Notamacropus eugenii: one gene and its partner. The protein of the gene in region 2 interacts with the protein of the main gene of each other region in a pairwise test. Links are inferred from orthologs where the notes say so. Each region holds a gene or a part of one and is shown on either strand. Other genes may lie near its edges.

Region 1 (4,377 bases), on a different chromosome or scaffold from region 2:
TAAAGAAACCATTACTGTTCTCTTAGATTTAGCATTCCAAGAGAGTGGTCACATCTGAACCTGAAGTGAAACTGTCCTCTATTTACTAGATATTGGCCTTGGGAAGCTCACTTTGCATCTCTAAACATTAGTTTACCCATCTATAAAATGGGAATAGATAATACTTTCAACAGAGGAAGCTAAGTGGCTAGAGTACTGGGCCTAGAGTCAGGAAGCCCTGAGTTCAAATTTGACCTCAGATCTTCACTAACTGTGTCACTTAAACTCTGTTAGCCTTAATCCACAGGAGAAGGAAATGGACAACCATTCCAGTATCTTTGCCTAGAAAACTCCAGGGGGAGTCACAGAGTCAGACATGACTGAACAACAATTCTTTTAATACTCACTTCCCAAGGATATTGAGGAGAGCTCTTAATAAACACTAACGTATTACAGAAATGTGAGTTATTATTAGTGATAGGAATAAAAACTTATTTATCTGGCATTTTACAAAACACATTCTCTACAGCAGCAGCCCTGTGAGGTAGATAGATCGTGTAAAAAATATGATCTAGCTCTGTCGCTTCCAAATGAAAAGAGACATGGGTTCAGGCTGGGACCAGATAATTACTGGCTGTGTGTAAGTAAGGAGGATTCTGTCGTCTTTTCAGAGGGGAGTGTCTCAGGATCCGCTGCCAGGGCAATGTCTAGTTTCTGAGTGTTAGATGCTAACTCCCTAAACGGCCCCCAGGGTCACGGGTGGTCACTCCTAGGATCACAGCGGTGGGCAGTCCTAGGCAGTGAGATAGCGATGATGGCACCGCTGGCACTATGCCTTATGGAGAGTGGGCACTGGTCAGCACGTGGGGAATGCCTAGAGGAATGCCCGCACCTGCCTCCACCTGCGGCACCGAGGCTACGGAGGAGGACGGGCAGGGCACAGGGCACGCGGGCGCCCGGCTCCGTGGACGCCCCCCTGCCGGAAGGGGGATTAGGAAGTGGTGTAGGTGCCCGGTGCACCCATCGAGAACACCAGCCTAGAATAAGCTCAGACCAGGAACCCCCAGCTGCCGTCCCGTCCTTCCTGCCGGGCCCCACCGCCTCTCCTGAAATCAGGGGTCCAACTGCGTGACTGCTGCGCTTCCTTCCAGGACCATACCCTGCCGCAGCAGGGCTTACGGCGACACCGCAGAGATGCCACTGGCCTAGGACCGTGGAGGAAGGCCTGGGCTCGAATCGCAGCTCTGGCGCTTACTGGCTAGGAGACCTTGCACTAAGTACTTCCCCTCTCTCCCGCCCCAGCTTCCCCCTCTGTAAAATGGGCACGTGGGTCGCTGCCGCGTGATCGCCATGCCCTCTCTACTGCCCAGCACTGAGACCCTGGCTGAGGCGCCGAAGGCCGCGGGGCTGCCAGGCACTAGTACAGACCCCTGGCTGCCCCCTTGCGGGGCCTCTCTGGCAACGGTATACTTACTCTCCCGGCCCCGCCCCCGAGGGGCACGTGATCCAGGCCCCGCCCACTGGGAGCCTCTCCACCTCCTCCACCTCCCCCTCCCTTCCCCTCCCCTCCCCTCCGCGGCGGCCCCACCAGCCCCACTTCCGGCCCGGGCGGAAAGCGGAAGTGTCGGAGGGACCGGTTGGGGATGGGGCAGTAGCAGGTTCGAGCTGCCGGCGGCCGCGCTATGGAGACGGTGCAGTTGAGGAACCCGCCGCGCCGGTGAGTGTGTGTGTGTGTGTGTGTAAGTGTAAGGGGGAGGAGACGAATATGTGTGAGTGTGTTAGGGGGAGACTACGTTTGCGAGTGTGTCGGAGGAGGCTGTGTGTGTGAGAGGAGAGGCTGTGCGCCAGTGGGAGGGGGACCCGTGTGGGCGTGAATGTGTGAGTTGTGAATGAGGGGTGAGGAGAGTGCGTGTGTGAGAGAGGTGCTATGTGTGTATGTGAGTGAGAGGAAGGGGGTGTGTGTGTGCGTGCGCGCGCGTGTGTGTGAGCGAGTGCGGGAACACTGTGCAGACCTCGAAGTGGGGGCCGGAGGGCCGTGGATGGGGTTCACCGTGAGGAGGAGAGGCTCCCTACGAGCCCAGGGATGGCAGGAGGAGCCTGTGGGAAAGAGTTAGTCCGAACGATACCTTTGCTGGGTTCCCCGTCCAGTACTGGGGAAGTGAGAAGGGTGCTGGGTAAACATCTAGGTGATCTGCATTAAGAGGACTGTCCTCCTGATTGAGTTATCATCCTTCAGAGCTAGAGTCTGAAGTGACCCACAAGCGCTTTCTTTATATTCTCCTCATAGACTTTTAAAATTCAGTCTGCCACCTTGGGCACAGAGATGGACAGAAGGGAAAGTAGTGTGCACTTCTAAATCTGTGATTCTGACATTTCTGAGGACCCTTCTCTATCTGTGTTTTAAGGTTCCTTCCACTTCTGAAGTTTTGGATCTGAAATAATAATGCCCTGTCAGTAACAGAGCAAATGCTGTTTGCCTCCCTGAGTTAGGTTCTCACACGTGTGTCAGGGATAATGAAATAAGAGCATTCTTACTTTGCTCAAACTTGTGATTTGTGAAATGACAAGGCAAGGTCGACTTTACTTTGCTTAAAGTAGTCATTTGTTTAAAAGTAATTTCTTCACATATACTGACATTAGACAGTTAAGACTCAGAGCTTGTCTTCAGTAAACTGTTGATACTACCCTCAGGATTCTTTGGATGGCATGTGCCCATACTTTGTTCATGTTGGCAAAGAGCACTTTCGGTACGAGTTACAGAACTACTGACTGATCACCGAGGCTAAGTTTAAAGGCTGGTTTAAAGGATTGGTGACAGTGTATATGACAATATATGCAAAAAACCACATGTGTAACTTTTCAGGTTATCATTTGGACTATGCGCAAGCGTTTAAGAACTCTTGATATTTTGGATCTCTGGTCTCTTACTCTTACTTCAGAGAGTAAATTGATGCTTTCTCATCTTGTACGATTCTTCTCTTGTTTCTGTAATTTCTCCATGAAGGACCTGCTCAATGTGCTTAAGACCTTCCTGGAGTTCTTTGAATATCACAATATAGCATGTGGTCTGTCCATCTGTTTCCAGAAAAATAGAAAAAGTAATAGATTGTTCGTTTATTTTAAAAAAAGATGATTAAGAAGACATCAGTCATTGTCAACATGTTTTTGCTTATTTTCTCATTTCTAAAATCTTTTGAGAATTGTTGATCCTTGATGAAGACATGACAGAGGAATGGGTAGACTGTGAACAAGGACTTTCCACAGCAAGTTACATCTTCATAGTAATATAGTTGATTAAGAAGTACAGAAAAATGTAAGATTCTACTGTGTTTATCATTTTCTAAAAATTGGTAGAAAAAATGCATCCCTAACACCTTTACTCAAATGAGAAATTTCCATATAAAGATTAAAATGTTACACAAATGTTAAAATCGTGTAAGATTCCATGATAGGCACTCCTAGGGAGATCATTTCATTGATCCACTAAGTGTCAATCTCACAAAACAAGTAAGACACATGTTCTTGTAAATTGTTCACAAGTGTCATAGAAGCTAACCTACATACAACCCAAATAGAAGAGCGATTTCCTGTCATTAGCAAGATTGTCTTGATACTGCTAATGTTTATACATGACATTGTTCTGATTACCTTGAGTTCCAGAGTGCTGCAGGAAGATCCATAATCATTAATTGTTTTGGTTGTTTTTTTCCCTGTATAGATGTGTAAGCAAAAGTCACTGAAAAAAAAAATATGTTGCCCAGGCAACATTTAGTGAAATAGGAAGTTCACTGTGATAATTGATCATTATAGATAAATTTGGACGAGTGTTATGTTATGAATGGATAATGAGATGAACTTCGAATTGAGTAGGAGGAAAAGATCGGACTGAATCATTTGGGAATTTGCACCTCCTTGTTAGTGTCTTAAGTTGCTCTCTGCTGTAAAAGAATAACTCTAATGCTAAAATTCTGCCATTGATGCTAATTATCTGTCAAGTCATCACGCTCCACTATCTCAGGAAAATCAAGGTTGAAGGTACTCTGGATGTCAATGGAAAGATGCATGGGACTTGTAAAGCTGTAGCATTTTTCCAAAGATAACTCGGGGGTGAGAAGCAGTATTAAATTAAATTACTAAGAACCTTTTTTGATTGAAATCTTTATTGATGATGTAGTAATGCCCAGGTGTAAAAATTTCAGTCTGAAAATTTTGGGGGAAATACAGATGAAACCAGTAGTTACCTATCCTTTAAAAATAATTGTTTTTATCTTATCATTGTTGATATGTTTTGTTTCTTTATTACCAGAAATTCAGAATCTATCCCTACCTCCCACATTTCCTCTTGTGACAAAGATGAATGGAAGCAGTTCAGCAAAGCCAGTTGTCATACCACCTGTG
Region 2 (4,377 bases):
ACAGAAAATTTCCCATAAGGAAACTCCCTCTACCAATACAGGTCAGTCCCCACTCTGCAACTTGGAATCTTAGCTGCCTGGAGTCACTGGTAAATAAGCCAGTATGTGTTAGAGGTGTGACTCCTGATTCAGAGGCTCGCTCTCTACCATCCTGCCTTTCCTTGGCACTGAGGATACAAAGATATAACAAAAACTAAAAAAAACTGGTCTTTTCCTTTAAAGGGCTTCCTTCTACTGGGGGGATTTTTTAGGACACTTAACCCAGCATTCTCAGCACCAGATACTCCTTTATCAGCTAGTCTATGGAAGAACGAAAATGAAGATCTAGTCACTCAGCTGCACAGTAGCATGCATCTTCATATACATTCACATGTAAACACACATGTGAATATACACAAAGACATGTATACATTCCACCCATACAAGGTACCCCTAATACTACATCCCTGAATAAGTCAAAAAATAAATTTTTAAAAGTCACATGTAAGAGAGTCCAGGATCAATAATCAACTCTCAGGACCCTGCTCCAAAACAAAGCCATGATAAAGACACTTCCCAGTGGAAAAATGATTATCATCTCCATTTTTCTGGTGTAAAATGAAGGGAGAGCAGAGATAGGAGGGGATGGATGCTCTCTCAGGTGTCATCCACATCCTGTGATTCTGTAAGCCTATCCAAGTTGGGGTATCTGCCCTTACTCTGTAGCGAAAGGCAGACTGTCATAGGCATACAGCCTTCCACCAAGAGAATCAAGGAATACCTCCTGAAGAGTCATGGGGATATTCCACCTGGTTTCTCTGGAACATCAGAAGCATTTCTAGACAGAGGGAGGTTATGCTTCAGTGTTGGAGGAGCTCTGACAGCAGCCATAGCCATATTCTCAGCCATTAAGTACTCCTGCCTGAGTCAGACTTAAGGTCTTCCTCCTTTTTCCTCCTATAGCCCAGGAAAGGCTGCAGTTGGGATGCACAAATTAGAGTCTGTTGTGGTCTACAAAATCAGATGCACACAGCAGGGTTTTCACAGTAGCATTCTGAAGAACTGCTTGGAAGAAAGCTTCTGCCCAATACCACAGAGTCGGTGCTAAGGAGTCAAAGGCATTACCTGGAAAAGCATTTCTAGGGAAGGATTCAAACCACAGCCCACTTGTGATGCCTGTCAGAGGCTGTGACACTATTTAGGTGGAGAAATTTTTTTTAGATGAATCTATTAAATTCTTTGCCAAGAACTGCAACATCCTTTAGAAAATAAACATACCCATTAAAGAAATTCGTACTCTATACCAGGGTAGGGAAAATATGGAAAATAATACAGACAGACACCCAACATCACTGCAGAGTTCCTCAGAAAATCCATATTCTAGGTACCCAGTGATTTATTATGTATGTGTGCTGGGGGAGGGAGAGGAGTGGATAAGAGCCAATAGGGGCTCGGGAACTACAGAGGGAGGGAAACCACACAGAGCTGGATAATTTTAGAGGATGATAATAACTACTGCAGGAATCTAGGAGGAGGAGGAAGAGGAAGGCTAGCAAAACAGAAACAGAAGTTCAGAGATTTCAGAGATCATTGGGTGGCTAGGATCTTGGTTTGTCCTGGTATCTCAATCTATTTCCAACCACGGGGGGTGGGAGCTTTCCTCTACCCCTGCTCCAGTGGATATTACCTAACCTTCCAACGAAGGGAGGGGGAGGGGGTTTTGCCTATCCTAGTAAACAATCGGGCACGTCATTACCCCCTATGTACAACGGCCAAATCACAACAGCAGCGATTATACAGCCTATGGGTCATTAGGTGAGAAGCCACGAAGGGGAGGCGGGGGAGATGAGTGCCCAGGAGACAATCCAGTGCCCTTGGCTACCAGTCCCAGGCATTTCAGTGGGGAGATAGTGGGGTCCGATTTGTCCCGAGCTCCTAAATCCTTCCCCAGGCTGACACCAAAAGGTTCCAGATGTGTAACAGCAGTTACAGTAGACAAGACAAGGGACCCCCATATATGCCCTCCACAGGCTCCTTAAGGTCAGAGAAAGGGAGAAACCCTTGTCCCCGGCTTGGAGACGTTTCTCCCGGGCTGTCTCTCACCCCCGACCGCTAGCCCGCTGCCCTCTGCTCTCTGCCCACCTCCCCACGGCCCTCACCCCTGCCCGATCGCACTCACTGGCGCAGCGTAACGCCCGCTGCCGCACCTCCCGGCCGCACAGGTCACACCAGCCCGAGTCAGTCCGCAGTGCCAGCTCGGTGAAGCGGTGCCCCTCGCCGCGCTCAGCCGGGACGCGCGGGTCCCGCGGCTGCTCGAAGATGCTCCTCACGTCCGGGGGCCGCGGCGCCCCGGGGCGCCGCCGCAGCCTCTGCTGAAGCCCCGGCCGGAGGGAGCGAGGGAGCCTGGGGGGCCGGGGCTGCGGCTCCAGGCCCCCCGCCAGCGCCCCCCGCGCTCCGCGCCCCTCGTGCGCCCCGGGCGCGGTGGAGAGGGGCACGGAGCCACAGCGGCGCGGGGGCCGGCCGGGCCGCGGAGGAGACTCGGAGCCACTCAGGCTCTGCAGATAGCGCGGCGGCTCGGGGTCCAGCAGGAGCGAGTAAGGGCGCTGCCCGATGGCCGGGGACGCCATGGCCATGCCCGGCTTGCCGCAGCTCCCTAAGACTGCGACGCGACTCCCGAGCCAGCCCCAGGAGAAGGGCGGCCCCCGCCGGGCGCGCCTTTAAAGGGACCGCAGCCAGCGGGGAGGGCCGGGGGCGGGGAGAGGGAGGGGTGGGAGGAAAGGATCCACTAAGTGACAGAAGACTGACGGACCACCCGAAGCACTGGTGGGATGGGCCGTGGGGGGTGCTAGGTGTACAGCCCGCGGCCCCTTTTTCTTTGGGGGAGGGCCCCGAAAAGACTGGGCAGGTGAGGAGGCAGAGAAAGTATTTGGGCAGAAAGCCCCCTCTACTCTACTCCTACCACATTCTAGCCACACACGCGCACACAGACTCACATAAGCTCACACAAACAGACACAGGCACACACACACACAGACATACACACAGACGCACACACAGACACACACAGACAGACACACAGACACACACAGACATACACACAGACACACACACAGACACACACACGCACACACACACAGACTCACATAATCTCACACACAGACACAGGCACACACACACACATACGCTCACGCTCACACACACACAGACACACACACACGCACACAGACTCACATAAGCTCACACAGACAAAGGCACACACACACAGACATACACACAGACACACACACGCACACACACACACAGACTCACATAATCTCACACAGACACAGACACACAGACATACACACAGACACGCACACGCACACACCCCTCTTATCCCCAGCTCAAATCCACAGGATCTGAAACTTCTGGCCCCCCTCAGCCAACACATCAGCATGAAAAGGGAAAGGAGCAGTACTGTGACGGAACGGCCCGGGAAGGGTAAGGTTTGGGTTGGCGGTGGGGGATGGGGGAGCCGATAAGGAGGAAGACAGTAATATATCGACTGCAGTCTCTTCCCCCCTTCCCCCCTTCCCCCCTTCCCCTTTCCCCGACAGCCCCAGCCAGGAAGGAGATTTCTCTTCCTCCTTGGAAAATTTTCATTTCGACTAAAATCTTTGGCCTCTCCGGCTCCCCAAGAGAAAAAGCAGACGTGAGCCTGGAGAGCGAGGGGGTGGGTGTAGAACCAAACCCAGCGCCCCCACACCCCTGCGGTAAGGCCCTAGACGCTTGGAGCGACGCTGTTAGGTCCCTACTTAGGCTTCCTTTTCTTAGCCCGAGAAACTGTCTCAACTTGCAGGAAAGGCTGGAAAGGCCAGACTTTCACTTTTGATTGAAGTCTTCCTTCCCTCCTCTCTCTTTCCCCCCTCCCCCGTCTCAGTTTTGCCAAGCAGCCTTCCAGGCAAAGGGACCAGGGCAATCCTAGTAAGATATGAATGGTACAGGCGGACCCCTGAGCAGGAAGAGTCCTTCACCCCTGCAGGTTTGGTTTGAGTCCAGAGCAATTTCTCTTGCCAGACTGGGTTCACCTTTCCCCTCGAGTTGCCAAAGTAATCACTGTTCCAAGGAGCCAGTGACAATAGTTAGTATTTACACTGCTCTTTTTAGGTTTATAAACATTCTTTACATGTGTTCATATAAGATGCTATTATTATCCCCGTTTTTCAACTGAGGAAACTGAGGCAGACAAGGATTAAGTGACTTGCCCAGGGTCACCCAGGGAGTGTCTGAGGCCAAATCCAGTTCTCTATGCACGATACCCAGGGTAGTGGGGGTGGGAATAAGCCCCACTTTGTGCTTTCCATCAGCACCTTTTATATCATTGAAGTTTAAAGTACTCTGCAACCAGATAGGTTTCTG

What was found.
Region 1: the proteins of RASSF5 (region 2) and STK4 interact in binary tests that used the Homo sapiens proteins (3 or more experiments, as listed by UniProt). The link is inferred for Notamacropus eugenii from reciprocal best matches to the Homo sapiens genes RASSF5 and STK4.

What each region holds. Positions count from the first base shown.
Region 1 is NC_092872.1:521,329,754-521,334,130, forward strand, and holds the start of STK4 (serine/threonine-protein kinase 4), read left to right. Parts: upstream 1-1,479; 5' UTR 1,480-1,661; coding exon 1,662-1,696; intron 1,697-4,377. UniProt on the Homo sapiens protein: Stress-activated, pro-apoptotic kinase which, following caspase-cleavage, enters the nucleus and induces chromatin condensation followed by internucleosomal DNA fragmentation.
Region 2 is NC_092873.1:432,871,241-432,875,617, forward strand, and holds the start of RASSF5 (ras association domain-containing protein 5), read right to left. Parts: upstream 2,677-4,377; 5' UTR 2,613-2,676; coding exon 2,159-2,612; intron 1-2,158. UniProt on the Homo sapiens protein: Potential tumor suppressor. Seems to be involved in lymphocyte adhesion by linking RAP1A activation upon T-cell receptor or chemokine stimulation to integrin activation.